Linked DNA regions of Pelodiscus sinensis. The main gene of each other region encodes a partner of the protein of the gene in region 4 in a complex. Links are inferred from orthologs where the notes say so. Each region holds a gene or a part of one and is shown on either strand. Other genes may lie near its edges. The genes, in order: PPP2R3B, STK26, ARPP19 and PPP2CA.

The links.
Region 1: the proteins of PPP2CA (region 4) and PPP2R3B are in contact, whole or in part, in a crystal structure (PDB 4I5L), measured with the Homo sapiens proteins. The link is inferred for Pelodiscus sinensis from reciprocal best matches to the Homo sapiens genes PPP2CA and PPP2R3B. Residues at the interface, in NP_002706.1 of Homo sapiens: Cys20, His63, Tyr91, Tyr92, Arg135, Lys136, Tyr267, Arg268, Arg294, Arg295, Gly296; in NP_037371.2 of Homo sapiens: Met410, Leu432, Asp436, Cys439, Gln440, Met441, Leu442, Asp443, Leu444, Lys446, Glu450, Gly451, Lys462, Leu463.
Region 2: PPP2CA (region 4) and STK26 share a complex: the UniProt entries of both Homo sapiens proteins name them as parts of the core of STRIPAK complex. The link is inferred for Pelodiscus sinensis from reciprocal best matches to the Homo sapiens genes PPP2CA and STK26.
Region 3: the proteins of PPP2CA (region 4) and ARPP19 are in contact, whole or in part, in a cryo-EM structure (PDB 8TTB), measured with the Homo sapiens proteins. The link is inferred for Pelodiscus sinensis from reciprocal best matches to the Homo sapiens genes PPP2CA and ARPP19. Residues at the interface, in NP_002706.1 of Homo sapiens: Arg89, His118, Gln122, Gln125, Val126, Tyr127, Tyr130, Asp204, Asp205, Pro213, Arg214, Gly215, His241, Gln242, Leu243, Met245, Tyr265, Arg268, Cys269; in NP_001293124.1 of Homo sapiens: Phe60, Asp61, Ser62, Gly63, Asp64, Tyr65, Asn66, Met67, Lys69, Ala70, Lys73, Ile92, Pro93, Thr94, Pro95, Leu98, Arg101.

The regions. Positions count from the first base shown.
Region 1 is NC_134711.1:224,710,138-224,718,010, reverse strand, and holds the start of PPP2R3B (serine/threonine-protein phosphatase 2A regulatory subunit B'' subunit beta), read right to left. Parts: upstream 3,007-7,873; 5' UTR 2,756-3,006; intron 1,009-2,755; exon of another isoform or gene 770-1,008; intron 1-769. UniProt on the Homo sapiens protein: The B regulatory subunit might modulate substrate selectivity and catalytic activity, and might also direct the localization of the catalytic enzyme to a particular subcellular compartment.
Region 2 is NC_134723.1:45,941,822-45,949,734, forward strand, and holds the start of STK26 (serine/threonine-protein kinase 26), read right to left. Parts: upstream 3,009-7,913; 5' UTR 2,876-3,008; coding exon 2,834-2,875; intron 989-2,833; exon of another isoform or gene 974-988; coding exon of another isoform or gene 965-973; intron 1-964. UniProt on the Homo sapiens protein: Serine/threonine-protein kinase that acts as a mediator of cell growth. Modulates apoptosis. In association with STK24 negatively regulates Golgi reorientation in polarized cell migration upon RHO activation.
Region 3 is NC_134724.1:25,594,313-25,602,265, forward strand, and holds the start of ARPP19 (cAMP-regulated phosphoprotein 19), read right to left. Parts: upstream 3,004-7,953; 5' UTR 2,799-3,003; coding exon 2,754-2,798; intron 1-2,753. UniProt on the Homo sapiens protein: Protein phosphatase inhibitor that specifically inhibits protein phosphatase 2A (PP2A) during mitosis. Inhibition of PP2A is enhanced when ARPP19 is phosphorylated.
Region 4 is NC_134727.1:28,175,661-28,182,747, forward strand, and holds the start of PPP2CA (serine/threonine-protein phosphatase 2A catalytic subunit alpha isoform), read right to left. Parts: upstream 3,016-7,087; 5' UTR 2,795-3,015; coding exon 2,693-2,794; intron 1-2,692. UniProt on the Homo sapiens protein: Catalytic subunit of protein phosphatase 2A (PP2A), a serine/threonine phosphatase involved in the regulation of a wide variety of enzymes, signal transduction pathways, and cellular events.

The DNA.
Region 1 (7,873 bases), on a different chromosome or scaffold from region 4:
AGAATAAGACCACATTCCACCAACTGTGATTTGTACCAGGACTTTTAAAACTAATTTGAGCTGTGAAGTTTATTCTACGGGTCCCCATCCTGTGCAATCTTCACAAAAAAAAAAAAAATTATCTGAGGCCAGAGCAATACTACAGACCTATACTGGTAAAACTACATCACTCAAGGTGTGAAAAATCCATACCCCTGAGCAACAGTTATACCAACTTCACCACCCACCGACAGACAACTCCTCTTGCCAATGCCATTACTGCTTCTCGGGAAGGTGGATTAACTCCATCAATAGGAGAAACTCTTCTGTCAGCATTGGAGTGTTTTCACTAAAGCGTGCACTACTAGAGCACTGTACATGAAGACAAGCCCTAATAATGTTTAAACATTTATTTCCAACTTTACCAAAAAAAAAATCTTTCTTTCTGTGAGTGTAAATGTGCAAAGTTCCAAGTGCTTTTGGGGTTTTTTTTAATGAAAAAAGTCAGTCTTGAATAAGGCTTAAAACCGGATACTACAGAGACAAAGTGATTACTCAGTATAATCCTAAATGAAGTTTCTAGCAGGTTGTTACTCAAAAACATCTTGTGCAAGAAGACGTCCACACTGTCATGTGCTTTTGCGCAAGAGCATCCATGGCAGTGTGGACACTCTTTTGCGCAAGAAAGCTCTGATGGACATTTTAGCCATAGGGCTTTCTTGTGCAAGAAACCCTTGCCCCGCATCCACATTGCCTTCTTGCGCAAGAGCTCTTGAGCAAGAGGACTTACCCGTTAGAAAAGAGCATAGCTCTTGCGCAAGAAGCCCTCTCTTCCAACGCCGTACTGTAACTCTTCTTGTGCAAGAGCAGGCGGGGAGTGTGGACGCTCTGTGGAAGAATGGCTGTTCTTGAGCAAGAACCCGCCAGTGTAGACATAGCCTTGGATTGTTATGTCTTAGTAAGAACACAAAACAAATCACTGTTGAAAACACCAGTTAACATTATTAACCTTTACAATGTATGGAACATTGTGCTTTTAAAAAGCCAGTGCAAACCTATGATGCTGGGAAGTGTTGGAATAGCAGCAAGACCTTTCAGCTTTGAATTTCTTTCACTTCTGAGGCAAAACTCCAGTTTGAACATGCCTAAGTTTAGAGTTTAAGGGAAGAAGGAAAGGGCTAAAGCAAAATACTGAGAAAATCTGGTTGTTCTCCCAGTTCTATAGTTGATCCTGATAACCTGTCACCTCACTTAAAAAAAAACAACACACACTCTCAGAAAGGGGCTTAATGTTTGCAAAACATTCTTGTCCTTAGATGGAAGGCTTTACAGATATGTAAAATACTTGCAATTATTATTAAAACCTGAATTAAAGTAGCATATTTGAAGCTTTTGACAAAACCATAAAAATGTACTTATGTTTAAATTAGGAAGTTTGAGCTTTTATCCAATTTTCCAGCTAACATATGTCTTAACAATGGACAAAAAACTCAGGAACCTTTAAACATCTATAACATCACTTAGTCAAACTTCCTTTAGATATGGCTTGTTTGTCCTGGTTTGAGTAAATGTCAGATCTGCAGAGTAATACACTGCATCAGAATTAACTACAAGTTCCACTAAATATTTGAAGATTGGGATTTCAGTTAAGTGAATTTGGGGCACATGTAACACTGAAAGATGATTTGTGCAACATAATACATTGAGGCTCTTTAGTAAAAAGAGACACCCATACTCCACATTTTAAGCTATCATCAAATAAAAGCAGAGTAAAAATTCAGTATTCAGTTTACCCAAACTTGCATATGTTCAATTCCATATGTTGATTTCACAGTTTTCTACAGGGAAAGCCTAAACACACTATGCAGTGACAATGCTTGCAATTAAGCACACAAGACAAGGCAGGCAGAGCTACAGTTAAGTGACTGACATTATCTCACCCCTTCCTGTACATTATGTTGGTTAGTGTATTTTTCAGACGTTGTGTTTACAGCATCAGAGTTATCCATTGTGTTAAATTCAGACCTTTTTCATTGAATGACAACTATTTGATATGGAAGAAACCCATTGCATGGCCTAGTCCACAAAGCTCACTACAGGGCTGAATGCACAGTGTCTGTCTCCTGATGGATTCAGTTCCCTGAGGAGATCAAACCAGGGTGCACTACTGTCAGTCACGAAACTAATAGACAGCAGGCTTAAGGCTATCAAGAGGAAGTACTTCACACACCGCACAACCTCTGAAACGTGTCATCTAGGGATGTTATTAAAGCTAGAATGATAAAGTTAAAAAAGAATTAGATCACTTCACAGAGCATAGGCCCATCAATAGCTATTCGCAGAGCTACCAGACTGCTGCAATATTGGGGGCTTTGTTTTACCCCATTCTCATTTTTCACGTCTGACATCCTAGCCATTAGCCAAGATTGTCCGGGGTGCAACCCCGCCCTCCTCCTGGGTGCGCGCTCTGGGACATCTGGAAGCGGAGAGGGGATGGATGGTTTGACAACTGCCCAGTTCTGTTCACTCCTCCCGAAGCACCTGCCCTTGGCCGCTGCTCACATGGCCCCTTGCTCTGGCCGCTCCGATGGCTTCAGCAGCCCCGCCCCGCCCCCGCCGAGCCCCCGGGCAGCGGACAGGCCCCGGCCGCACTCAGCTCCCTGCTCCTCTCAGGTCCCTTCCCCACCGGGCGGCTCGGGGACCCGCTGGCAGCCAGGGCCCGGGACTCCCCCGCCGGGCTCGGGGCGCAGACGGCGGCGGCGGTTTCACGTCTCACCTCCGGCGCCTCCCGCCGCTGCCTTCAAACCCACCGCGCCGCCTTCCGGCCCGCCCCGCGCGGGAGCCGGCGCTTTATCCCCCCCCACCCCCCCGCAACTCTCACGAGACTCTCCCAGCGAGAAGCTGCGCGCGCGGTTGCCCGGGTGACAGGAGGGCCCACGTGGCGGGAAGAAAACACCGCCGCGCCGGGAAGAGGCGGTGGCTTGATGGCGGCACCGTGCGGGCGCCTCGCTTTCCCAGCAGCCCGTGCGGCTTGACCGCCTCCTCCGGCTGCTGCTTTCCTGGCCCCGCCCTTTTCCAGCTCTACTTTCCCAGCAGCCCGTGCGGCGCGGGGGGCGGGGCTAGGTGTTGATCCTTCCCCTCCTCTCCCAGCACAGACTCCGCCCCTTTGCTGTCCTTGAGCGCAGCCTCCGCCTGCTCCATGTCCCTGGTTGCAGGGGATGCAGCCCCCGCTGGCCAGAGGCTCGGGGTTTCTACCCCCCTCCAGCATTGCCCCCCCCCGCGGGGCTGGAGCAGGCAGAATCTACTAGCCTGGACCTCCCAGGGCTCTGGTGCGCCTGGGGAATGGGGGCAGGGTCTGTCTCCTTCTCAGTGGGGCCACACGGCAGTGAGAGGTTGGGGGTTTTTTTTGTTTTACCTCTCACTTATGTGCACCCCCCAATTGATTTTTTTCTGTGTGTCAGCAGTCTTCCCTCCCCCCAAAAAAGTTCCCCATCCCTGCCCTATTGGCTCCCACCCTTGTCTCTTGTGGGTCAAGGATTGGGGCTTGGTTACCTCCCTGTGCCACTGGATCTTCAGGATCCTTCCCTCCTGCTTGGGAGTCTCCCCATCCTTATGGCTGAGGGCACATGCCTGTGGCAGGGATGCTTCTGCCTGGCTTCATAGTGCATCACAACATAAGGGACACAAAGGAGTAGCCCAGCTTGTCCCTACAGCCAAGAAGTCACAAAGCAAGGTGCTGCTGTGCCTCAGTGTCATTTGCCACTATGGTCCTAGGCTCCTCTAAGGGACTCCCCCATCTTCACCTAAACCCTTATGGATGGCAGCCTCTTTTGGCAATAGTTGCTAAGCAGTGGGTCAACGGCGCACTTGCTGGTATTCTGAAGAGAGCTGACTAATCACGTGATGCTGGCTCTTCTTGTTTCCAGCTGTTAAGTTCCATTAAAAGACAGCTAAAAATACATTAAATATTTTCCTATTGCGTTTCTATGTAAGCAATTGCTGTAGTTGCCATAGGAATGCTAAGGTGGGGGTTGCAAAAGGGAGGAAAGGTGTTTCTTCTAATGGACAAATGAGAGAGGGTGTGAAGCCAAGCAATGCTCAATTAAAGGTAAATAGTAAAGGTAAATAGTAAAGAGTCTTTCTGTTAAGAACTCAGTTTGAGAGCCACTCCCTGCAATATAGTTCACTATACTCTTGCTCTCCAGCTTCGAAACCTCTGCATAGTTGCATCATTTGTATACGTTTCACAAATATCTGCGGCTTTTTAGATAGGCTTGTGGGGTTGAGAATATAAAGAGGGGCATGTGCTTATTCCCTTATATGCACTTTTCACTCACCTATTGGCATCCAGCTGCAGATCCACTGTATTTTTACCCAGATATTCCCCCACCCTTTCCTAATATGGTTGCACTTCCTTTCATATATATAGTGCAACCATATCAGAAGAGGTTGTGGGGAAATCTGGGATTTATTCAGCATTGCTCGGGTTAGCAATATTCCATATGAATTGGGGGGAGGCTTCAACACCCCTCACCCTCCCTAAAGGGAGCCTGGGGGAGAGGCGGGGGAGGCTTAGTTAGGACTGACTGTGAGGAGGTTAGTATTCAGGCTGCTGAGGGAGAAAGGACTGCCCCAGCCCTCTCTGACCGCAGCAGCTTGGGGTCAGGTGATAAATGCCTGTTCATGGCCGCTACAGCTGTAGAGGGCACAGCCAGGAGAGGGGCGCATGTTTCCCAGCCGGGAGACAGATACACAAACAGACAAATTATTTCTGATGGTTGTCCCTTTGTCTACCCTGGCCCCCATTATAACTGTCCCAGTCCCCATCACTGATCCCTTACTACTCCCCCTGTTGTCATTATACAATATAACTGTCCCTGCAAGCAGAACCCTCCTTTTCCGTGTTATGAAAAACAATCACATTACACGCACATCCCATTATCCTGGCACAATCAAACCATGACCTTGCTTTAAATTATGATAAGAGGAAGCTACATACCCAATTTGGTGGTTCTTGCTCTTACTGTTTAGGAGGAGTTATTGAACAAAGAGACAGACAAACTCTCTCAAATATATAAATAGATAAACTATGTGTCACTGTGAAGTGAAAGAAAGGATTTTGCTAAATTTAAACGATTTGCTGCTGGCTTCCTATGGCATCTTCTGTGTAATGGTGGAATGGCGGTTTTTGAAAGATTAGTGTTCCAGGGCTGTAGCAGCGTTAGAAGTGTTCTTTCCCTACATTATCATCTATATGAAGCAGCAGCAATTAAGTTGAAATGGAATTTAGTATTTGAGAAGGGAGGAATGAAGAGCATGTCTACACTGCAGTAAAACACCCATGGTTGGCCCATGTCAGCTGGCACAGGTTGCAGAGCTATACAATTTCTGTGAAGCCATCTGGCCTTTGGCTGGAGCCTGGGCTCTACTGCAAGCTTGAGTTATTTGACACAGGCCAACTGCAGGTGTTTTATTGCAGTGTAGACATACCCTGAATTTAAAATTATGTGAATCTAGGAGCTGTGAAAAAGTGGCCTTGCTCCTCCACTTGTGAAGAGTAAAGGAAAGAGGGGATAGACAAGAGGAAGCTAAGATTGCATGAGCAAAGGAGAAGGTTCATATGAGTGGTGTTGAGAAACAATCTTGTATAAATCCAAATGCCAACAAAAGCAGGAAAGCAGTTGCTATATTAAAAATACTCACCTTCTACCCAAACTACTGGCACAATTGTCATTTTTGTTTAGCTTTTTGAACCATTCCTGTAAATAATTTCATATTTTGACACAGTTTTTAAAATGGATTCAGAGATTATAAGAAAGTCTGAAAATTGACGAGGAATAAATTGAGGGGCTTCACTTTTTTGAGTAAGATAATACTCTGGCTCCTGCATAGTGGACTGTAAAGTCAGGAGAGCAGAATATTAGGAAGACAAAAATGAATTGAATTGCGTTCTCCAAGATGGAAAATTATTAAGGCATTGAACATAAAATATGAAAAATAGAATCTGAAGTAAGGAAAAATCTGTGAATATTCTGGAAGTAGTCAAGGACAGATTTCAATATGGAAGATGAGGGAAGACAAAAAATATTATTTGTCATGGATTATAAGATTTCTGTCCCTTGGAGTAAAGGCCTGAATTAAGCAGAGTGAATAACAGAAAAGTCAGAGACATGGAACAAAGAGGACTCTTAAAACATTTTGAAAGTCTCTGAAGCATTCCTTTGCAATGATGTAGCCATCTGTTGATTGACAGAGTGACAACAGGTGGCAATAAGGGATCAGAGAGCCACTTGAGTGAGTTGTAAAGTTGGATATCATCTGCATAGAAATGATTCCCTTTGTCGATGCTGACAATGAGAGCTCCCATAGGGAGCAGATGGAGAAATCAGAGAAAGGAAATAAACCATCTGTGAAAAATACATAGGGTCAAATCTTATCTATGCATGTTGGTGTAAATTCACAGAAACTAAATTTACTTTAATTGAATGTGTAAACATTTACACTGTTTTCTGTGAGATGGTAATCAGACCCTTTATGTCTTCAGTGAAGCAAGTAGCATTTGGAGAAAATCATCAGCTGGTATTGCAACTGGAGGTAACAGTTTGGCAAGTTGGTCCAAGGAAACAACTTGAAAGAGCTGGAGCAGGTCTCCTCCAACAAGGTGTCTTTTATGAAACTTGCTTCTGCTCCCCATGTCTGAACTCAAACTTGTCCAATTTTAGAAAAAGTTGTAAATGCACCCTTTTGTTAAGGCCTTCCAAATAAGAGCTGACTTTGGATTTCCTGTGACAGGGCTAGCAAGCCCCGCACTAGTGACAGTGACGGCCCAGCACTATGGGGGGAACGGGCAGAGAGGAGGTGGTGTGCCTCTTGCGTCTGCCCGGCGCAGGCACATGATGTCACCCGTTAAAGCAGCGGAGGGGATGCCGGCGTCTGTCCAGTGCAGGAGAGTGACGTCACCCGCTGAAGCGGCAGCGGGAGGCTTAAAAGAGTCAGGGAGGACCCAAGAGTGGGGAGAGCGAGGAGTACAACCCCAGGGAGGAGGGCCGGTGGAGCAGCCCGAAGGCCAGAGAGCAAGAAAGCCGGAGGCCCAGCCAGACGAGGTGCAGTATCCAGCGGAGGTACGTCGGCATCAGTAGGCAGATAAGAAGTGGCCCAAGGCGGGGTCGTGAAGCCCGTGGGCTGGTGAGTTATGGGGAACTCCCCCATCATCCAGGCACAGGAAGTAGGAGTCCCTGCCTTAGGGCCCTGGGCTGGGACCTGGGAGTGAGGGTGGGCTGGGTCCTCCTACCCCGCCATCCACAATTGTCTCCTGGTGCTATGAAAGTGGTGAGCCTTGCGAATGGTATCGGAGATTGACTAACTGAAAGACTGCGGGGGAAACTGGTGAAGGGCTTTGGACTCGGAAATTGAATAACTGAAAGACCGTGGAGAAACTGGTGGAGGGCTTTGGACTCGGCTGCTCAGACTAGAGTGGGCAGCGGCTCATGGGGGGAGGGAGCAAAGAGTTTTCAAGGAGATGGCTTTTGAATTTCCTTAGGGTTAAATAAAAGGGGAACACGCACGCCTCCTGAGTCCAATGGTTTACACTTCCCTATAGAAATTTGTCTTCTGACTGGTATTCCCACATCTCAGTTGGTTTAATGTGTGGTCAACATAGATTTGTTTGGTCCAATTTGTTCAAAATTTACCCATTCACTCCAGTGATGAACACTTAAAATGTACATTTGAATAATAAAAAATGAGTGTATTAATTATGAATCGATATCCAGTGTCTTAAAGTAATGGAGTCATATTCAGTAGTTACCTAAAAGGTGATGAAAGTTATACATGGGGATAAATGATGATCAGGAAATAGGGTTAGGGGGATGTAGGTGGTGCAGTAAAATAATGT
Region 2 (7,913 bases), on a different chromosome or scaffold from region 4:
TTTAGGAAAGCGTGCTTTAAGTCTACATGTGCACAACAAGGTCTGGGTTAAACTAAAAATGCAGAAGTGAAAGGTAAAGGTAAATATTGGAAAATGGTGCTCTAAATAATGTCAGAGTCCTGTCTGGACTACACTAGGGATGTTAAATTTAGATTAATTGGCTAATTGAATAGTCAATGCAATTTGCATCAACTATTCGATTAGTCGATAAGAGCACCTCCACCTTTGAAATGTAGCAACAGCCCTAGGGCACTGCCATTTTGAACCACCCTGTTCTCTTCCTCCCTCCTTTCTGCCTCTTTCTGATAGAGGCAGCAAGAGGGGAAGGGGGGGGGGGGGGGGGGAGCGACTAGTTGACTAGCATGTTGACTGTTGGATAAGCATTTGCTTATCGGATAGTCGACTAGTTGCTCACATCCCTAGAGTAGACGGCAGCTCAAGAAAATGAATAGCAGAGCAACTTTTAAGATGAAGAAATGGACAACCAGATTATGGAATTTACACACAGAAAGTGTTCAAAATACTTATCAAAGCAATACAGGAAAATTCTCTGAAGAGAAGTCACACCAGGGATGTAACTAAAAAAACAAGGCTTAGACTAAGATTTCTCAGTCATTTTCCAAAAAAGTTCACTTGCTTCTAATTTTTAAAAATGTACCATCATCAACATTGATATAATGTGGAAATAAAGTGTATTGTCAAGTTAAAACGATATAGCAAAGTGTGGGTTTGATGTCTGTTTGCACAATAGAAAACTGATGATGCAATTACTTTGAAAGGACAAATTCAAGAGATTTCAGAAGAAGTACAGAAATGGTGCAGATCTTTAGAAATAACGGTACTAACTTTAGCCTTACAAATGTTATCATTAGCCCGGCCCACTTTGCTGAAAGTTCATTAGCCTTCACCATTTTTGGAAAGGGCACAATTATAGTGTTTGGGTAAACATTCCATAAATACTTACAAGCTGCATCTAATCACACTCAAAATATTGTTACTAGGAGTTTTGAAATCTCCCTTTACTCTACACAGAATTCTCCAATTTTCATCCTAAAAGCTGTTGTATTAATTTCTTCCTTGATTTCACAGGCATGACTGCAAAATGAAGAAAAAAAAACTCAAACAGAAATTGTATTTTCTATTTTTTAGAGTTTGGTACTTTTAGTTGTAGCTGTGCCTCCTAGGATTCTGGCACAAAGCCCTCCAGAGTTTATGGACATACACGGTCTCAGAAAAATTCATTTGCTTTTTTTATTTTTATTTAATTTGTAGAGTGGTGTGTAAAAAAGTAATTGACATTTAAACTAGGTAGAGGAAAAAAGAGGAACAGATATTACTAGAAAAATTAGATAACTAGGAATGCACAAATTTGTTTTGTTTATTTTACAAAACCCAAGCTTTTTTACAAGAACTGAGATATGCTAAAAATAGGACATCGCAGTGCAGGGCTGAAATGACTTGTCTTGAAAACATTCTGGATCATCACTCTCATTGGGAAAAGTTACAAGACTCGTTTTCAAAGGAAAATAGCATATGTCTACACAAACTGAGTGAAGACGCTATCTTCACCAACAGGGGAGGTTCTCTGTGGGTAGAGGTGCTCCACCCTCCCTAACAGATGGCAGCTAGGCAGACACAGCTGCCCTTGGCCTCCTGCTGTCTACCAGGGGCATTCGAATGGTTAACTGAAATGCTCTGGGGCGTGGCTGTGTAATACCCCTAACAGATATTAGTCACATCAACCTAATTTCCCAATGTATACAAGACTTAAGGAGTTTGATGCCCAAATGCCACTGAAATGGGCATCTGGTGCCTAATTCTTTAGAATTAGGTGAGAACCCCACCCTAAATCTGCTTGAGGACCTTAGAAAGAGGAACCATGTCAGAGGTACTTCAGTGTATCCAAAAAGCAAAAACTGTCAACAGCAGCAACAAATACACACAGAAGCCCATTTGTAAATGGGGCTCCCAGTCTGGTGCCAGCCACAAGACTCTCAACAGAAGGACCACTCTGAACAGCAGCAAACTCGCTGTAAGCTGGCGGGGCTTCACCTTCCCCATCTCTTTCCATGCACCACGCGCCCCCCGGGGAACCCTCCACACAGGCTGGCGCCAGGCAGTGTACCCGGGCCAGCTGGGCTGACATGGCCTGTCATTGCAGACACACCCATGCAGCAGGTGACATAGCAAGGCCTCTTTTAACCCTTCAAACGCACTTGGGTGCTGCGGGATGAAAGGTGGCTTCCAAACAAAGCCCCTGTAGTGCTATGGGGGGCCCAGCCACAGCCCAGGCCCCCGCTCCCCCCACCAGTGTCTGGCCCCCTCAATCCCCCCACTTGTGTCTGCCCCCCCGCCAGAGCCAGGAACTGCTCATCTCCCCCCCCAGCCCTGCTCCCCCCCAGCCACAGCCCAGGCCCCCGCTCCCCCCACCAGTGTCTGGCCCCCTCAAACCCCCCCGCTCCCCCCACCAGTGTCTGGCCCCCTCAAACCCCCCCGCTCCCCCCACCAGTGTCTGGCCCCCTCAAACCCCCCCGCTCCCCCCACCAGTGTCTGGCCCCCCCAACCCCCCCGCTCCCCCCACCAGTGTCTGGCCCCCCCAACCCCCCCGCTCCCCCCACCAGTGTCTGGCCCCCCCAACCCCCCCGCTCCCCCCACCAGTGTCTGGCCCCCTCAACCCCCCCACTTGTGTCTGCCCCCCCCCGCCAGAGCCAGGAACTGCTCATCTCCCCCCCCAGCCCTGCTCCCCCCCAGCCACAGCCCAGGCCCCCCCGCCAGAGCCAGGAATCGCTCATCTCCCCCCCGCGCGGCCCCGGCCCGGCGCAGGCCCGCTCACCTGCATGCCGGGCACCTGCACGGCCACGGGCGAGTGGGCCATGGCGGCCGGGCCCGAGCGCTGCGGGCTCCAGGCGGGGCGAGAGGCCCGCTCCCTAGCGCGCGGCCCGGTCCCGGCGGCTGCGGCGCGCGCTGCCCATGGCGGGAGGGGCTCAGGGCGCCGCGGCGGCCGGCGCCATGTTGGGCTCGGGAGGCTGCGGCGGCTCCGTCCTTCCGTCCGCTCGGCGGGGCGCGGGGTGGAGCCGGGACCGCCCACGGGGGGCGGGGCCTGGGGGATCGGGGGGGGGGGTCTCTGCAGGGCGGGGCGGGGCCTGTGGGGGGGTCTCTGCAGGGCGGGGCCTGTGGGGATCGAGGGGGGGTCTCTGCAGGGCGGGGCGGGGCCTGTGGGGGGGTCTCTGCAGGGCGGGGGGGGCGCTTGTGGGGATCGAGGGGGGTCTCTGCAGGGCAGGGGGGGAGGGGAGCCTGTGGGGATCGAGGGGGGTCTCTGCAGGGCGGGGGGGCGCTTGTGGGGATCGAGGGGGGTCTCTGCAGGGCAGGGGGGGCGCTTGTGGGGATCGAGGGGGGTCTCTGCAGGGCAGGGGGGGCGCTTGTGGGGATCGAGGGGGGTCTCTGCAGGGCAGGGGGGGCGCTTGTGGGGATCGAGGGGGGTCTCTGCAGGGCGGGGGGGCGCTTGTGGGGATCGACGGGGGGTCTCTGCAGGGCAGGGGGGGCGCTTGTGGGGATCGAGGGGGGTCTCTGCAGGGCGGGGCCTGTGGGGATCGAGGGGGGTCTCTGCAGGGCGGGGGGGGCGCTTGTGGGGATCGAGGGGGGGTCTCTGCAGGGCGGGGGGGGCGCTTGTGGGGATCGAGGGGGGTCTCTGCAGGGCGGGGGGGGAGGGGAGCCTGTGGGGATCGAGCGGGGTCTCTGCAGGGCAGGGGGGGAGGGGAGCCTGTGGGGATCGAGGGGGGTCTCTGCAGGGCGGGGGGGCGCTTGTGGGGATCGAGGGGGGTCTCTGCAGGGCAGGGGGGGCGCTTGTGGGGATCGAGGGGGGTCTCTGCAGGGCGGGGGGGCGCTTGTGGGGATCGACGGGGGGTCTCTGCAGGGCAGGGGGGGCGCTTGTGGGGATCGAGGGGGGTCTCTGCAGGGCGGGGCCTGTGGAGATCGAGGGGGGTCTCTGCAGGGCGGGGGGGGCGCTTGTGGGGATCGAGGGAGGTCTCTGCGGGGCGGGGCCTGTGGGGATCGAGGGGGGTCTCTGCAGGGCGGGGGGGGCGCTTGTGGGGATCGACGGGGGGTCTCTGCAGGGCGGTGGGGGCGCTTGTGGGGATCGACGGGGGGTCTCTGCAGGGCGGGGGGGGCGCTTGTGGGGATCGACGGGGGGTCTCTGCAGGGCGGGGGGGGAGCCTGTGGGGATCGAGGGGGGTCTCTGCAGGGCGGGGGGGCGCTTGTGGGGATCGAGGGAGGTCTCTGCAGGGCGGGGGGGCGCTTGTGGGGATCGAGGGAGGTCTCTGCAGGGCGGGGGGGGCGCTTGTGGGGATCGAGGGGGGTCTCTGCAGGGCGGGGCGGGGCCTGTGGGGATCGAGGGGGGGTCTCTGCAGGGTGGGGGGGAGCTTGTGGGGATCGAGGGGGGGTCTCTGCAGGGTGGGGGGGGCGCTTGTGGGGATCGAGGGGGTCTCTGCAGGGCGGGGGGGAGCTTGTGGGGATCGAGGGGGTCTCTGCAGGGCGGGGGGGAGCTTGTGGGGATCGAGGGGGGTCTCTGCGGGGCGGGGCCTGTGGGGATCGAGGGGGGGGTCTCTGCAGGGCAGGGGGGGAGCCTGTGGGGATGGAGGGGGGGGTCTCTGCAGGGCACGGTGGAGGAGGAGCCTGTGGGGATGGAGTTGGGGGTCGCTGCAGGGCACGGGGGAGCCTGTGGGGATAGAGTTCGGGGTCTCTGCAGGGCATGGGGGATGGACCTGGGGGTCTCTGCAGGGCAGGGGGGGAGCCTGTGGGGATGGAGGGGGGGGTCTCTGCACGGCAGGGGGGGAGCCTGTGGTGTAGGTGGAGCTTGGTCCTGCCTTGAGGGCGGGGGGCTGGACTCGATGCCCTTTTGAGGTCCCTTCCAGTCCTATTATTCTATGATTCTATGATGGAGGGGGGGGGTCTCTGCAGGGTGGGGGGGAGCCTGTGGGGATGGAGGGGGGGTCTCTGCAGGGCACGGTGGAGGGGGAGCCTGTGGGGATGGAGGGGGGGTCTCTGCAGGGCACGGTGGAGGGGGAGCCTGTGGGGATGGAGGGGGGGTCTCTGCAGGGTGGGGGGGAGCCTGTGGGGATGGAGGGGGGGTCTCTGCAGGGCACGGTGGAGGGGGAGCCTGTGGGGATGGAGTTGGGGGTCGCTGCAGGGCACGGGGGAGCCTGTGGGGATAGAGTTCGGGATCTCTGCAGGGCACGGGGGATGGACCTGGGGGTCTCTGCAGGGCACGGGGGAGCCTGTGGGGATAGAGTTCGGGATCTCTGCAGGGCACGGGGGATGGACCTGGGGGTCTCTGCAGGGCACGGGGGAGCCTGTGGGGATAGAGTTCGGGGTCTCTGCAGGGCACGGGGGATGGACCTGGGGGTCTCTGCAGGGCACGGGGGATGGAGCCTGCAGTGTGGAGCTGGGGATCGCTGGGGCGGAACAGGAGATGGATCCCCCGGCTCTCAATGTGCCCTCCCCCCATACTCCTTACTGCCGGGGGCCTCAGAACAGGGCCCAGACCTTCACACCCACCTGGTGCCCCTCTGCCAAAGTGGGCCTCCCCCTGCAGGAACCAAGTCTGTGGGCCCTTTGCTTGGCAGGCCCATGGATGAGGGCCTGTGTTCCTTCATACTTGACCAAGGCTCAGGGGTTCCTTGGCCAGGCCCATGGATGAGGCTCGGCTCAGCTTCCCTCCCCAAGCTCACCTGATGGGGGTCACTGCAGTGTGCTAGCACCGCTCTCCCATGCTGCTTGCCAAGCATAATTTTTTGGGGCCTAGTACAAACTTATAACACAGGCCTCCCTCCCATATGTATGACAATTTGCAGCCTGGACCTCTGGGCCTCAGTGAAGTGTACCCTTCTCCCCTCCCCACCATGTGGGGGCCCCGGGCGGCAACCCACTTGTCCTTCCCCAAGGATGCTGTTTATCAACAAGGAGGACACTGTGTTCTGCTCTTCCGTGGCATTTGCTCTCTTAATGAAGGAGGAGATGTCTGCAATAGCTATTGGAGATCCTCTTGAGACAGAAATTGCTTAGGAATTGTGGCCTTTTGTACAGGCATCACTGTATTCAACTCAGTTTGGTGGGTTTATAATTTGACATCCTGGAAACATCTAACGAAGCAAGTCTTATGTTTTGATTTGTTCATCTAGTAGTCCACAGTTCTTCCATAGCCTCCTTTGAGGAGGATACAAAGTTGGCAACGTCCTCTCTTTTCACCGGCTGCATTGCTGGTATGGGGAAGCCACTGTTCACCTTCTTGTGGCTCAGTTTCTCCACTTGACCAGTTGCCTCCAACATAACGATCACCCCCAGCTTTCGTTCTTCTGTTCGAACTTAACACTTGGCTGATCTCCACTGTGTCCCCCTTGGTAAACACCCAGACACAGTGATGTTTTTTCTTTTTACAGTTATTCCATCCCCTAAGATATGAGCCTGCTCCTGGGTTTAGTCTTCCTTAGCGATGATTTTCCCCTCTTGAGGATGATTTTTCAATTGTCCAGCTCCAGTTATTTCTCTTAGCTGCCACAGAACCTCCTGACCTTACTTTACCTCCCTTCTGTGATGGGCAATTCTGCTTCATGTTTGAAAGGAAGGAAAAATAGTATTTCAGGTGACTTTCCTCTGTACTTAGTACCCTGCACTCATGTATAGTTATGGGTAAAACCTATGACAGTGCATATCTACAGTAGGTCTAAAATGCCTTTTTATCCAAAATGGTTCTTTCTTGTGATGTATCAGTTGCTCTGAAAATTTACTCCATTGTCTGACACCTCCATAACCCAAATTTGCTCAGATCTAGAGAACTGAGCTCATATGAATTAGGCAGTACTTTTTGGCTTTGTCTACACTGCAGAGTTTTTGCGCAAGAAGCTTTTTGCAGAAGAGATCTTCTGCAAAAACTTCCTGTGCAAAAGCACGTCCACACCTCAAAAGCACATCGCAAAGCGATGTGCCGTTGCGCAAGAGAGCATCCACACTGTAGGAACACTCTTACGCAAGAAATCTCTGATGGCCATTCACAAGAACTCTTGTGCAAAAAGGAGTTATTCCTCGTAGAAAGAGGTATACCTACACCACAAAAAGCCCTCTGTTCTGCCCTTCTGCTGTACATTTTCTTGCACAAAAATGCACTTGAGGTATGGATGCTCCACAGGTTTTTGTGCAAAATTAACTGTAGCCAGCATGCAGGCCCTTGCTCTTGGATAGTACCCTTTCTCCTCCTCAAACGTTCCAATGGGGCCCATTATCATTCTAGAAAGCCCTTACACAACTGGAGAGAGAGAGTTACCTGCTGGCCCTACTGAATTCAATAGGAATCTAGCCATTGACTTAATTGGGGTCAGCCTGATAACCATAAGGAAACATCCAGTGTTGAGAAGGCAGCCTTTTCATTCATCTAGGCCACCCTGCCGCCATTAGGTTGGATAATTATATAGCTCAGACCTACTCCAACATAATTATTTAAAGGAAATTTCTTTATGCAGGATTCATTTAAAGGCAGTTTTTAAAGTTGTTCTTATTTCTTCTGCACGAAGAAGTGCTTGCAACATTCAGTATGATACTAAATACAAAACACATCTGTTTAGGTTAAGGTTGGGCTAAAGCCATCTAAGCCTAGAAATTCAACATTCAGGTAGATGGTCCATCTGTAACTGACTGTGGTTTAAAATCAAACAAAACCCCACAATGATTTCAGTGGAGGATAGGACATGTGGCTAACACCGGAGCTTTCTGTCTTGGTTTGTTAAAATTTTAACATTAAAATATTTACTTGCCTACTCACCTCTTTAAAATATGTATTTTAAAAGCCCTCTTAGTGAAAGTTATAAAATACATGTTAGTTACCTGGAAGCCAGTAAGGACTCCAATCTCATGGGTAGGTTATG
Region 3 (7,953 bases), on a different chromosome or scaffold from region 4:
TCATGCTCAGACCAATCAGGGTGTGTGGGTGGGGAAGCATCCTGGCTTTGCCCCTTCTGCCTGAGGCCCCACCCCTTCCGGAGCAAACCAGGGCCACTTCAAAAATTTCTGAAGTAGCCCCCAGTCAAAAATTATTGCCCACCTCTGCTCTAGATGCATAACTTTGGTAAGTGATGCAGAGGTACTACTTTCTTGCAATAACATTTTGATAATCTAGTCTAAAATAGCCAATATTACCCAGGGAAAATGTTTCTAACTGTTTTATTCAATATTTCTCATTTCCTGCTACATAAGAGAGCATTTGATTTGCCTGTGGAAATACCAGTGATGACTGTGCAAACTGCTTTCCTGTCTTGTCACAGGGTTCCTGCATTTATTCCTAGCACATAACATCAGTGAAAGATTGAACAAAGACGTGAGAATGCACAGATTTTAAAGCAAGAAACCCTGAAAAAATTAATATACTCTTAGTTGACTTTTGAGAAGGGAGCTGGGCAAGATCTTCTTGGCTCCCAAATGAAACAAGTTGAGGGTGCAAAATAAAAGTGCCAGTTAATAAAATCTAATCTGCAGTTTACTAAATATTAAGTCCAGTAGCACAACTTTGTAAAAATGACACATACAGCATCCTAACAGCACGCAAATCAAATGTGTTCAATTTTAATACAAAGTTTGTTCTTTTAAATCTCTCTTACTTAGACCATTAGGCTAGATTGGATCCATTTCAAATCAATTTCACACTGGAACTACTGCACCAGAACAATGATACATTATTTGCTGAAAAAAAAAATCCTTACATGTTTAAACTTTGAGGTCTTCATACTGATATTTGGTTAGTATCAAAGTTTTCAGCATGAATCAATTGCTTGAACTAAAATACTACGAAGGAAATCATATAAGCTATATTGTTGCATAATTTAGTATTTAAGAATACTCACATATACAGAGCTATTGTGACAGTGATGCACATTCCAAAGTGTGTTGTGTGTTATCCTACATTTTTGGCTAGTAACACTATCCCTTCAATAGTTTTTTTACAAATGTTTGAGCTATTGAAGACAAAATAAAACAATAAGCTACATGCTTGTAATAAGTTTGAACTAGTACGGTCTTCATTAAGATATTTCAATTAGTCAGCATGAGCCCAAAACCCTACCTTTACAACCAGTTCAGCTCAGACACAAGAAAATGGGTAGATGACTGCAAAGCTTTGGGCCATGGCTACACTCTACAGCCTATAATGACATAGCTATACTGCTGTCAAGCCTCCCATGAAGCTGCTCAATGGCAATGAGGGAATTCACCCTCCTGTTGGCAATATTAAATCACTCCCAGCAAGAGGCAATAGCTATGTTGACGGGAGAGTGTCTCCTGCCAATACAGGGCTGTCCACACCAACATATTTGACAGTATAACTGAAGTGGCTCAGGGCTATGTTTTTTTCACACCTCTTTGCAAGATAAGTTGTACCAAATTTGGATGACATATATTTGGTTTACATACTATCATCCAAGTTTAAACAGGGGTAAAAAAGTCACAGCACTTCAGCACAAGAGAAGTGATTCCGTAACTTAAGTCCAGCTAGGAAGACTTTTAAAATAACAATGTCCCAGTATTGTTTGCAATGCAGTCCATATAACAATAACACAAGTGTAAAAAAGAAAAGATTTCTCATGATCCAAACCAAGAAAAAAAAGGCTGCATAGAGTGAAAGCTATATTCCAGTTTTCAAAGTTCGAGATACTATAAACAACAAATAATGTGTTAAAGCTGCCAATTGCTTCTTTAAAATGGCTATTCTCAATAATGACAGGGCATAAGTATGGTACAGCAGTTTTGTTTTGGAAGCTCTCCATTCTCTATGGCTTACAGGAAAAGGTGACATTCTCAAGTGGCTTGCTGCTCCTTAAACCATTCAGAAATAAGGATGCTGATAAAATGGTGGTTAGTGTCCGCCTACCAAAACTGCACGTGAAGAATCTAAAACCCTTCACACTCCTAACACAGACAAGTACAGGGACTAGCTGGGGGAGAGGGAAAGGCCCAAGGACCGGCACAATGGGGCGACGGAAAGTGTTCGTTCCCGAAGCTTCAGGCATATCAGTGATTCATTGGTCAGGAGAATAAAATTCCTCATGAAAAAACGTGCAAAGGTCAATCTCTTAATATCATTCTTCACCCCTCAGCTATATTCAGCTATGGAGCCGGGGCCTGCACCCACCTCTGCCCCGCGCATTCACACATCTCAGCAACACCTCCCAACAGTGCTCAGCCCGGGGACAAGCACCCTGATGTTGCAGGGGGCCGCAGCGCTCCACTGCAGGAGCCAGGGCCCGGGGCCGCGCGACACCCCCGCTTCCTGCGGGGAAGCAACCCCGAGCTGTGAGCTCGCGCACGCCCGCTCCCGGACCACCCCCCCCCCCCCGCCGGCGGTAACGCGCCCACGCAGAGACAATCCCCACCGCTCAGGGAATCCGGCCTGCTGTGCCGCGGCGGACCCCGCGCTTGCGGGGCTCCCCTCAGCCCTGGAGCAAAGCGGCCTCGCAGAGGCGACGGGCAGCTCAGGCCCGGGGCGCCGCGCCCCAGCAGAATCAGCGGCCCTCGCGAGTTGAGAGACGGCAGCGCCAGCCGCCAGAGACGAAGCCCGCTGCCAGGCCAACCGGATGCAGCCGACCCGGGCCCCGAACCGACATAACTCCGGAGAGCGGCCGCCTCCCCCACGTGCCCTGAGGAGGCACGACCCGGCCGCCCACCTTCTGCTCCTCGGCCGAGGCGGGCTCCGGGCTCTCGGCGGACATCGCGCCCCCCCGCAGCAGCTGCTAGAGAAGGAGACGGGAGGGATTCGGGACGCGCAGCCGCCTCCGTCCTTCGCTGCAACCAGCGCCGCCGCACACACCGATCGCCTCCCGCACAAGATGGCCGCCGCGCTCACGACGGCGAGCCGGCGGGATCAGACTTCCTCCGCACTCCCCCTCCCCAGCCAACCCGCTTCTCAACCTGAGGTAAGAGAGCGAATAAGCAGAAAAGAACTGTGCAATTTCCGGCCTCACTCTTTACGCCAACGTCCGACTTTTGAACGTCATATCCGCCCCCTTTGCAGATGCATACTGGGAGTTGTAGTTTAGTCTTTGTCTGGTCTACCTCTTTAGGATGGCTCCAATTTACTCCGTGATTGGGCCATTTCGAGGGAAGAGAGCGAGGGAGACCTGCGTTAGGACAGGGGGTGTCCACATTAGTGCCAGTTAGGAAGCCTCCCCTGCCTTTAACGAACAGCATCCTTGCTAGCGTGACCATATTTCCCAAAGGGAAAATGGATCAGTGCCCGAGTCACTTGCCCATGTTCTCCCCTCCTTCCCCGCAGCACATGAGGCCGCTGGCCTATGCCTTGCTCCTCTTCCCCGACTCCCGGCACGGGCTAACTCAAGTCACTGGCCTGAGCTAAACCTCCTTCCCCAACAGGCAGGGCTCTCATCAGGACCCTACCTGTTACCCATGTCCATGTGTGGTCACTCCTGTGCGTTGCTGCCTCTTCACCCTAGCGTTGTCCAATACTTTCACAACAGCTATCAAACATGGCAGGGAAGGGAAATTAGTTGAGCCAAAAAAAAAAAATGCAGCAGTGAAGGAACGTCCCAAGTGGCCTTCCGTCTGAGAAAAAACAGAAAATAACCGGACATTTTACATGCCCTACATTCATCCTCGGGGCTAGCATCAACAATTCATAGAATCATAGAGCTGGAAGAGACCTCAGAAGGTCATCAAGTCCAGCCTCCAGGACCAATCTCAACTAAATCAACCAGGCCAGGGCTCTGTCAATCCGAAATTTAAACATCTTGCAATTATCCAAGCCCTGCCTGTCCCTACTGCCTGGCAGGCATTGCTCACAAATCCTACATGCCCAGGTGCTCAAGGCATGAGGTCTGAGCAGGAGTTTGGGTGTGGGAGCGGGCTCAGGGCTAGGGCAGAAGGTTGCAGTATGGAGCACTTACCTAGCATTTTGCGTCTAGCAAGGTCCCAGCATGAGCAGAGGCTTCTGCTCAGGCTAATGCAGAGAGTTCAACCTCAACAGCTCACACTCCCTCTAAAAATGTGGATGGAGTACCAGAGAGAAAACACCACAGTAAATGTTGCTGTAACACTGATTATATTATAAACACACATTTTCCCTGGTTGATTATTGATAGGGTTGCTAACTCTCCCAACCAGTTGAACGAGATGCCCTTTGTGGCAATGACATTCAGTCCATCCAGTCTTGGAGAGTTTGTGAGCCTAATTATTGGTGCTTGTATTTTTGCTAACAGATGTGCTAGTTATTAAGATAAAACACATGGGCCATGTCTACACTGGTGGCTTTTTGCACAAGAACATCTTGCGCAAGGGTTCTTGTGCAAGAAGTCTTGCACAAGAAAAAGTCCACACCGCCATGCGTGCGCTGTGCTTTGCACAAGAGCTCCCATGGCAGTGTGGACACTCTTGCACAAGAAAGCTCTGATGGCCATTTTAGTCATAGGGCTCTCTTGCGCAAGAAATTCCTGCCGAGTGTTCACATTGCCCTCATGCGCAAGAGCTACTGTGCAAGAGAGATTACACCTTATAAAAAAGAGCATAATTCTTGCGCAAGCAGTCCTGTCTTATCATGCTGTACTGTAAATTTACTTGCGCACGAGCAGGTTTGCATTGTAGACTCTCTGCGGATTCTTGCTCAAGAACGGCCATACTTGCGCAATAACCCGCCAGTGTAGACATAGCCATGGATTGAGCTAAGATGGTGTGGGATGTGGCATTCCCAGGATTGCATACCGCTTGAGAATGTGAGAAATCTGAAGCTGTGAAAAAAGCACTTTTATTAAAATAGTGAACTTTTGAATAGAATCTTTTCAGTATTCTCTCCAACTTCTCTTGCCAATTCTGACAAATGTATAGTGAGTATGGCTATTTTGGCTGCTACGTTAAGAGGTCTTGCTGAAGGATCCACTCAAGATCAGAGCAGTGCAACTAAAGTAAGAGTAAGAACAATCCCTAGCCTGATGTGCTTACAACAGGAATGGGGAACTTTTTTGGGGTCAGGGCCACACACAAGTGAGAAGCAAAAGAAAAAACCCCACCAACCCCTCACTGACATGACACCCAACTGACATAAGCAACCTGCTCCAGCCCCACAGTGGGAAGCAGAAGGCTGGAGTGCCAGCGCAGGCTCCCCAGTGGGCTTTAGGTTCCCCACCCTTGGCTTACAGTCTAATGCAGTGGTCCTCAAAGTATGGTCTGCAGATTACTAGTGGTACTCCAGCCTTGACCCCCTATAGGGTTGGAGCACCAGTGCTGCAGGGATCCAACTCATAAGGGGAAGAAGACACTTCATGTGCTGCCACTGCCCTTCCCTCCCATGGCTAGAGGAATAGAGGCTTTCCCCCACTGCTCCCTTTGGATGGAATCCTGGGGGCAGCAGAGATCACTGAGCCAGGTAAACATCCCCTATCTCTCTTAGACAGCCATTCCATTGAGACCCTCCCTTCCACCCAGACCCCACACCTCCAGCCTGATCCTGCACCCCCCTCCCAGCCAGACATCATCCCTCCACCCTCTTCTGCACCCATTTTATCATGATGGACAGTTGGCTGGTGTTCCATGGAAAGGTTTGCATTGAGTGGGACAGGCTGCAGGCCAAAAAGTTTAGGAACCACTGATCTAATGTAAAGTATAGTGATGAGTTTGATATGGGAGCTGGAATTGAGACTAAATCAAACTCATCCTCTCATAAAGGCAGTGCCCAATATATTAGATAGGAGATCTAATCTCTGCTGATCTGGGTTTTTAATCCCTGCTGAGCTGGGTAGGATTTAAACTGGAAATTTACAAGCTCTATGGCTCATCAGCAGAAGCCTGAGGTAGCTAGTCTCCTGTAAACATTACTATAATACCTTTAGCCACACAAGTTTGAGGGGAGAATGGACCTGTCCTCTATGATGTTTCCAACTCTGTGGGATTATCATCAGTGTGTAAAATATGCCATTTTAAAGAACCTGGAAGATTTGTGATCTTTGGTTGTTGGTCTGTTTGGTTTTTACCTTTAAAAACCCAAGAATTTCAGCTTTGCTCATTTAAGATGAACAGAAGATTTCTCTCATGTTTTTGCTTCGAGGCCTCTGGATGCATCTTACACTTCAGCTGACTGGCAAGACTTAAAAAGTCTTCCTTTCTTCAGAACATTCTAATAATCTGACTAAAATGCTGGCCTGTTCCCTCTCTACTTCAGTCATCTTGGTTCTTGAAGTAATAATTTCAAAATTCTGTCAATAATCAGAAAGTTCCAAGGTAGACGATAGCAGACTTTCTGATGTAAAGAAAATGTAAAATGATACACAAGCTTTCATCATAAGAGCCTAAGATTGATGTTTCTCTTAGCAATTCATCTTTAAAATCCTCTTGAAGTTTCAAGTAAAAAGGGTGTCTTTCCACCCCCACTTTTATTAAGGCTAGGGCTACAATGCCGCTGTTTTTCGGAAGATATGCAAATCACACTCACATTTGCATATCTTCTTCCAGTTCTTTTTGCGGAAGAAGTTTTGCTGATTAAAAGCCTCGTGTAGATGGGGCCATTTGTCGGAAAAAAACCTTCTTTTTCAAGATCCCCTATTCCTCAAAAATCTAGGTTTGCAGGATGTAGCCGTTAACTGTTGTAAATTTTGCTGTAGTAGATATAAAAAGCAGTTATGTTTTTACTAAATAATGGTAGCATTTATATGCTGAGTAAATGATTCTTTTAAATATCATTACAAAACCCATAGGTTGAAAGATAGTATATAGGCATGCAGTTATATTGTAAATTTTGTAAAAAAGCTTGAAGCAGCAGTTTTCCTTTTTTTGAAGAACCTCTATCTGTGATCTTTTATTTTCAGAGAGAGGCAATGGGGAAGAGATATTTAATAACTGATGCCTTGATTACTTTTGCAAACTTTAGATATATAATTAAGCATGTCTGAAAATGCAACATGGAAGCTGATGTGAGTTGGACTGTGGTGTTTTTGCTATTCTGCTGCTTATGTGGTGGAGCAAGCACAGTTGGTGATTTTTAGGTTCTACACTTTTCAGCGTAAACAAAGTTACACAGAAGTATAAAAAGAATAAAACTTTGTATGCACAAGCACAGTTGTTGGACTTTAAACTCTTCAGGGCAGTGGCTGTCTTATTCAGTTTGTAGACCACCTAGCATGCTAGAACTGGATCTAATTCAGCCCTGTTTGCACAACTGCAATTGAAGTAAATAGCAGTAAAGCAGCATGCCAATCATTTCAGAATTAAATGAAAAATTGCAGTATCTACATTTAGAATACTGTATGAAGTTTAGTTCACTTTAAAGCACTGGTACTCAGTTATGTGACTTGGGAGCCACTTCTGCAATCACCATTAACCATGATTACTGTATGCCCTGTGCAACACCCCATGAGACACACACATAGAACCAAATACTGTACATTCAATTTTTAAAATAATTTTTCAATGCAATGAAAACTAAATGTAGTTCATTTAGTACATGAGGGGTTTGGAATGTGAGAGGGGCTCCAGGCTGAGAGAGAGGTTTGGTGTGCAAAAGGGGTGAGGCTCTGAGCAGAGGATGAGGGGTTTGGGTACAGGAGGGGGCTCAGGGCAGGCGATTGGAGTGGGGTGCAGGGTGCTTACCTCAGGCAGCTCCTGTTCAGTGGCACAGCAGAGCTGAAGTAGGCTCCCTGCCTGCCCTTGCTCCCCACCACTTCTAAAAGCAGTCAGCGCAGTGCAGATGGGAGATGGGGGCAAGTGGCTCCTCGCACTACCCTTGCTTGAAGGCACTGCTCTTGAAGTTCCCATTGGCAGGAGCAGTGCCTGCAGGCAAGGGCACCATGCTGATGGAGTATCAGAGTTCCTGATCCGCTGTGCAGCTCCAGCTGAGCGGGGGGGGGGGGGGGGGGATGGACACAT
Region 4 (7,087 bases):
ATTCCTTCTTCTGATTTGTAGTATGGATTTGAACTTCATCTTCCATCCACCAGGATAATGACCTGCCCACTAAGCTATAATCATTTTCACTCTCTCTAAAAGCCAAATTTATATATAGTGGAACAACTTCAGCACGAGATACTGAAATACCAACCATGGAGTACCATTTAACCCAATGGCTACAGCATGGTGCTGAGAGGAGAGAGACTGGTTCAAATATCTACTCCACATCAGATAAGGAGTTTTGAACCTATGTGTACCACATCCTCAGTGAACTAACCACTGGGATAAAGGTTATAACAGGGTTTTTCTGTTGGGGGAGGAAGCAATAAAGGGCTATAGGTGTTTAATCCCAGGAGAGGATTCCATAACTGTGAACCTCAAATGGAGCTGGGCACCTAACTCTCAGTGGGCTACACACCATAGCCCTCCCCTTGGCATTTTCTATACTCAACTTGCTGGCTTCAATGGATTCTATTCTTAGGTACATAGTATTCCCCATGCTTCACACAGGAAAACCTGTGCATTTAACTCAGGGTTGTGAATTCCATCTGGAAGCAACAGGTCTAAATTCAGATACTGCAAGACTGAGTCCATTCCCTCTCTGGCCAATGGGAGCTGTGGAGTTTGCGCTTAGGACAGGAGGCAGTGCACGGACACATTCCTCCCCTCCACAGTCCTGCAGGAACATGCCCATCCTGCACATTTCCACAAGTGAGGAAGTAGCCTCCTGCTGCAGCCCTGCTGTACAGCCAAACTTCTAGATTGCAGGAGTTGTTGAATGAGAAGAGCTGATGATCAGTGAGGCCTGCAGAACTTCTGGGGTACTCTTGGGGGGAGGGTGACTCTTCCCCCATAGGGTCCACATATCCTAGGTTGAGAAATACTGTACTGAAGTACTTTTCAAGTGACTGATCAAGATTACAAAGAATTCAGAAAGTAGCAGGTTCAAACACACTGTAGTGACTCCAGACACCTCAAATCAGGCTCTTCAGTATTAATGATAAAAATTAAGAGTATTTACATCAGGTGTACAACAGTAATGTTTCAACTTTGCCACCTGAATTCCTTAAAACACTCCACAAATATTCTCCCCACACTATAGTTAAATGCACACCCCTATGCTATGCCACAAAAACTTTCAAGTCAACATACTTGATCAGTATTCCACATTAAAATGCTATTTGTGGAAACACAGATTGGTATGAAAGGAGGAGAGGTACTGTGGCCTACACAGAAATTGTTTCTAAAACACAAGAATGAGAATGCTGCATCATTCATGGCCCCAAGTGATCTTATCATGGTGCATGTCTCCATTTACCTATTTGCAAATGTCTAGGATTTTAGTGACAATAAGTCAGAAAGCCATTTAGCATGCTATACTGCAAATAGACTAGTTTATGTAGAGCAAATTCTTTTTTTCCCTTAAAATTTTCATCTTTAGACATTAAGTCACAATCTGAAGTGAAAATAAAATGTAAGAGATAACTATAACAGCTTTATAAAAATTGTAACGAAAATGTACTTGTGCAACCATTAAATCAACTTACCCACTTTTATTTTACTACAGTATCAAATTATTATTCATTCTGTCTAAATTCTACAGGGCTCCTCTAAACTCAGGAAAACCATGAGGAATGACCACCGAGACAGGTAATAGCCAAACCTCACCATCCATAACTACACAAAGTAAAACTTCATATTACCTGGCTATATTTAGAAATGCCTACAAGGAGAAACCAATACCCTAAATTAATCTAATTCCCAATTACAATTTAAAGGCTGTTCCAAACACATCAAAGTTAAAAAAAAATGTAATGCAATGGCAGTCAAAAAATTCCAATTCCAAATTACTTTTATGGAGAGGAATTCCTACACTACCACCTTAAAATGAAATTTCCACTTTTAATTCCTGCCATTTTGGTGGACTTTACAAGAAAAACAAACATGCATTAACTGTGCCAAGGGGGATGGCATTTTGTTCAAGTCTTCCAACAGGGCAGCAATTACAGATTGGGTCTGACACTAGTAGTGGCATCCTAACATAGCAGACATAAATCTGTGGCCACTACACTCCCATCTGCGTCTCATACAACTGCCACCGCTATTTTCAACCCTCCCCCCTTTTATGAGAAGCGGGGCTGGGGCATTGGAGGGAGGAGGGTGGGCGTTTGGACGCTGCCTTACAGATTTGCCTTTCTACCTCTCTCGCACGGAGGAACTAGGAGGTGACACCGGGAGCGACACCCCGAGCGCCGAGCACGGCTGGTGCTCACAAGGGTCTCTTCGCCCCGCAGATTCCCTGCGAGAGGCGCCATTTTAGGAGGCAACGAACAGCAGCCGAAGGAGTCGGTCTCCTAGCGGAGCGGCAGGGGGCGCAGAGCTGCCCGGGAGGAGGCTACCCCCGGCTCGGCGCTGTAGGACCCGCTATCTCCGCGGGGTGACAGACCCGCCGGGGCGCTAGGGGGGAAAAACCGGGCCCGCCCGAGGAGATGCGGCCACGGCCACCCCCCGCTTCTTCTTCGCGCTCCTCACGCAGGGGCTGCTCCGCGGGGAGCCCCCCCCCCGCCACAGGCCCCTTCCCCAGCCCCCTCTCCTCACCCTGTCAGAGGCGCTTCCGCCGCCCGCCCCCAGCCCGGACTCCCCTGCCCAGGCCTCGCCCCAGCTCCCCCCGGCCGCGGGCCCCCCGTACCTTCTCGCAGAGGCTCTTCACCTGCCCCTCGGACAGCTGCTTGCACTCGTTGAGCTGCTCCACCCACTGGTCGAGCTCCTTGGTGAAGACCTTCTCCTCCATGCCGCCCGCTCGCGCTCCCCTCCCCGGCTCCTGCCGCTACCGCTCGGCTCTGCCACCCCTACGACCCGCTCCAGGCCGCGGCCTCACCGGACACCCAGGCAGGTGCGGTGGCGGCAACCGACGCTCGCGGCTAGGTCCCGGCTCCCGGCAGCAGTTCTAGCGCTCTACACTCGTTCTTCACTCCCCTCCGTGTAATGGCCGCCGCGCCCTGACGTCACCAGCTCTGCTTCCCCCTCGGAGGGGGGAGGGGTAGCATAGCGCGTGCGCGTGATACCTACCACAAGAGGGCGGGGCCGGCCGAGGAGAGGCGGCGCATGCGTGATGTTCGTAGCCAAGTGGGGAAGCCCGAAATATCAGTGCATGCTTGCTTTACAAAGGGCGTAGCGATGTCGGGATTAGCGCATGCGCAGTGCTCGCACCGATGTACGGGCGCATGTGCAGTGGCTGAAGTAAAAGGAAGAGAATGGCGGGACAGCGGCGCATGCGCAGCACCAATAACTAGCGAGGGGGGGGAAAGATGTCTGAACTGAGCGATTGGAAGCGATCAGAGCATGCGCAATGTGAGGAGGGGGCAGGTTCAGAGCGTTGTAATAAGACGCCCGCTGCAGAGCCTGCTTCAGATGCTGCCCCTCGCTCTGTGGACCCCATCACACCCCCGCCACCCATAGTATTCCCGCCACTCCCGCTCCAGAGACCTCCACACACACAGTACTCCCGCCACTCCTGCTCCAGAGAGCTCCCACCCCACAGTACTCCCGCCACACACCCTTCCAGGGAGCCTCTCCCCCGCCACACAGTACTCCTGCCACCCCAGCTCCAGGGGACCTCTCTCCCCCAACACACTACTCCCGCCACATCCACTCCAGGGAGCTTCTTCCCTTCCCAATACAATACTCCTGCCACCCACAGTCCAGGGAGCGTCTCCGCCCAATATAATACTCCCGCTATGCCCATTCCAGTGAGCCTCTCCCCCCCCCCCCACCGCAAAATACTACTCCCACCTAGGGATGTAATAGTATAGTTGATTAACCAATAAGCAAAAGTGTATAGGTTAATGCTATAGAATACACGCATTCTCCACTCCCCTCCCTCCCCAGTACATTTTTTCTAGCAGGCTGGCCAGCAGCCCAGCTCAGTCCCGACTTGCGCCAGGTCTGGGACCTACCCCTGCTGTAGCTCTGCATTTAAAGTGTATTAGGAGCTAGGCGGGCAGGCAGCCTGGCTCAGTTCTGGCTCATGTCGGGTCCGGGAGCTTAAACACCTACCTGGATAGGGGCTGTATCAGGCAGCAGTGCAGGGCAACAGGCAGTCAATCCATTAAGGGAGCTGGTTTTTAAACTGGCTCCCCTTGTGGACCAGCTCCCGCCTAGCACCCCGCATTGCTGCTTTGGATACAGAGGTAGCAGTGTGGAGTGGCAGGGGGCTCCTTGGGAGTGGAACCAGAGTGCACTGGCTGCCGTCCTCGCTCCCAGAGGCTATAGAATAGTCAAGTAATGGATAAGAATTCATGGGGTTAAATGACTATTCAATTAACCCAGGGGTCTCCAAACTACGGCCCGCGGGCCGGATGCGGCCCGCGAGGCCCTCTCATCCGGCCCGTGGAGACCGTCCCTGGGGTGCCGCCGAACGGGCCCTTCTTGCCGCGGGGGGGGGCCCTGTCAGGGGTGTGCGGCGTGTACTCACGCCACGCCGGGGCAGGAGAAGCGGGCCGCTCCGCTGACAAGCGGCCACGCGGCAGCAAACGGCGCAGGGGGCGGGGGTTAGCACGGGCGGCGTTCCCCCGCCCAGACTGACAGGGCAGCCGGCCAATCAGGGGGCAGGAGAAGCGGGCCGCTCCTCTGACAGGTGGCCGCGCGGCGGCAAACGGCGCAGGGGGCGGGGGTTAGCACGGGCGGCGTTCCCCCGCCCAGACTGACAGGGCAGCCGGCCAATCAGGGGGCAGGATGGGCGGTGGTGGTAACGCCCGCCCGGCGACGTGCGGGGGAACGTGAACCCCGGCGGGAACTTTAAAAAGGTGACCCCTTCCGCCCGGGGTGGGGAAGGAGTGAGCGGTGGCAAGCAGGAGGGGAGGACAGCGTGCAGAGGAAGGGGAGAGCAGGGGGAAAAGCCCCCCCCCCCTTCCGGGAGAAACGGATTCGCAGGCGAATATTCTGAAGAGGAAACATTAAAAGCAACAATCTCTCTACCATAAGTGGATATATTTGCACACTATATTCAGGTAAGTTTAACTTAAGAAATCATAAGAATTTTTAAAAATTGTTTCGGGTCATTTGCAGCTATTATTGCGACAAAATTAGTTCGCATAATCAGGTTTTTTGAGCGATATTGTGTGCAAGATACTTTCAGTTTCATTATTTATTCATGTTGAATTCACTTTATTTTAGTGCCCAGCGATGGCCGAGAAGAGGAAAAGAAAAATAGACGATGAGTGTCGGCAATTTCAAGAAGAATGGAGTTTGAAATACTTCTTCATCAAATCCGGCGAGAAAGCATTGTGTGTGATTTGCAACGAAACCGTGGCTGTGATGAAAGAATACAACCTGCGCCGTCATCATCAAAGCAAACATCAGGAGAAATATGTACAGTTGAAGGGTAAAGTCCGTGCCGAAAAATTTTCTAAATTACAAAATCAACTCACATCTCAGAGGACATTGTTCAGTAAATCCTCAAATGAAAATGAATCCTTAACTAAGGCCAGTTATAAAGTTGCCTACGTCCTGGCTAAAAGTGGCAAACCCTTTACAGATGGTGAAGTAGTGAAGGAATGTTTGTTGGAAGTGGCTGAGGAACTTTGCCCAGAAAAGTCAAAACAATTTGAAAATGTAGCTTTGGGTGCGAATACCATTGCCCGCCGTGTTGCAGACATGGGTGAAAACATTGTGACTCAAATAGCGAAAAATGCAAGCAAGTTTCGCCATTTTTCAATTGCAATGGATGAATCGCTGGACAGCTGCTCCACCTCTCAACTGCTTGTGTTCATTAGAGGTGTGGATGAAGACATGAACATAACACAAGAGCTGGCTTCCCTACATAGCATGTATGGCACTGTTACTGGAGAGGATATATTCAATGAGTTGAAAAAAACATTTGCTGATTATAACTTGGACTGGACTAACCTCAGTTGCCTGACTGTTGATGGAGGAAAGAACATGAGTGGCATAAAGAAAGGCTTGGTTGGACAAGTGAAGCAGATGTGTAATGAGAAAAACATTATACAACCAATGTTCCTGCACTGTATTATTCACCAGCAAGCTTTGTGTGCTAAATATGTGGACATTAGCAGTGTACTGAATCCTGTGGTGAAGATGGTGAATTTAATAAGGTCACATGGGCTCAACCATAGACAGTTCAGAGACATGTTGAAAGATACAGACACAGAATCACAAGATTTACCATATTACACAGCAGTAAGATGGCTAAGTTGTGAGAAAGTTCTGAGCAGAGTATTTAAGTTAAGAAAGGAAATAGGTGACTTCCTGGAAAGTAAAGGCAAGCCACAGCCATTACTGTCTGATGAAGAGTGGGTATGGAAATTGGCTTTTGCTGCAGACATAACTAGTCATTTAAATTTTCTGAACCTAAAACTACAAGGAGAGCAAAATCTAGTTTCTGATCTATACACCCACCTAAAGGCCTTCAGATCCAAACTTGTCTTGTTTTTGGAACAAGTACAGGCCAACAACTTGACGCACTTTCAGCAGTGCAAGGTATTCATGGCTGAAGCAACAGCTGAGTTCCCCACGTCATTTGCATGTGAGATCATCAAAGACCTCCAGCTGCAGTTTCAGCAGCGGTTTTCTGACTTGGATTCAAAGGCAGAAGAAGTGAGATTGTTTCAAAACCCATTTGAAGCAGATGTGGCCAGTTGCCCAGATGAACTGCAGCTGGAAGTCATTGAGTTGCAAGCAAATGACCTCCTTAGGGACAAGTTCAAAATAGGACTGGTGGGTTTTTACCAGTTTTTGCCCAAGGAAGACTTTCCTAATGTCAAAACTTTTGCATCAAGGTACCTTTCAATCTTTGGAACAACATACCTGTGTGAACAAACATTTTCAAGAATGAAATATGTGAAGAACAATTTGAGAACAAACTTGTCCGATGATAATCTCAGGTCACTGTTGATGTTAGGGACAACAAATCTAAAGCCAGAAATGTCTGCTATTTTGGCATCAAGGAAACAATTTCACCATTCACACTAATACAGGTGTTCATGTGTAGTGTATCAATGTGTTATTAAATAATAACTGAATAAAATAATATTAAATAAATAATTAAAAACAACATCCATGTTTT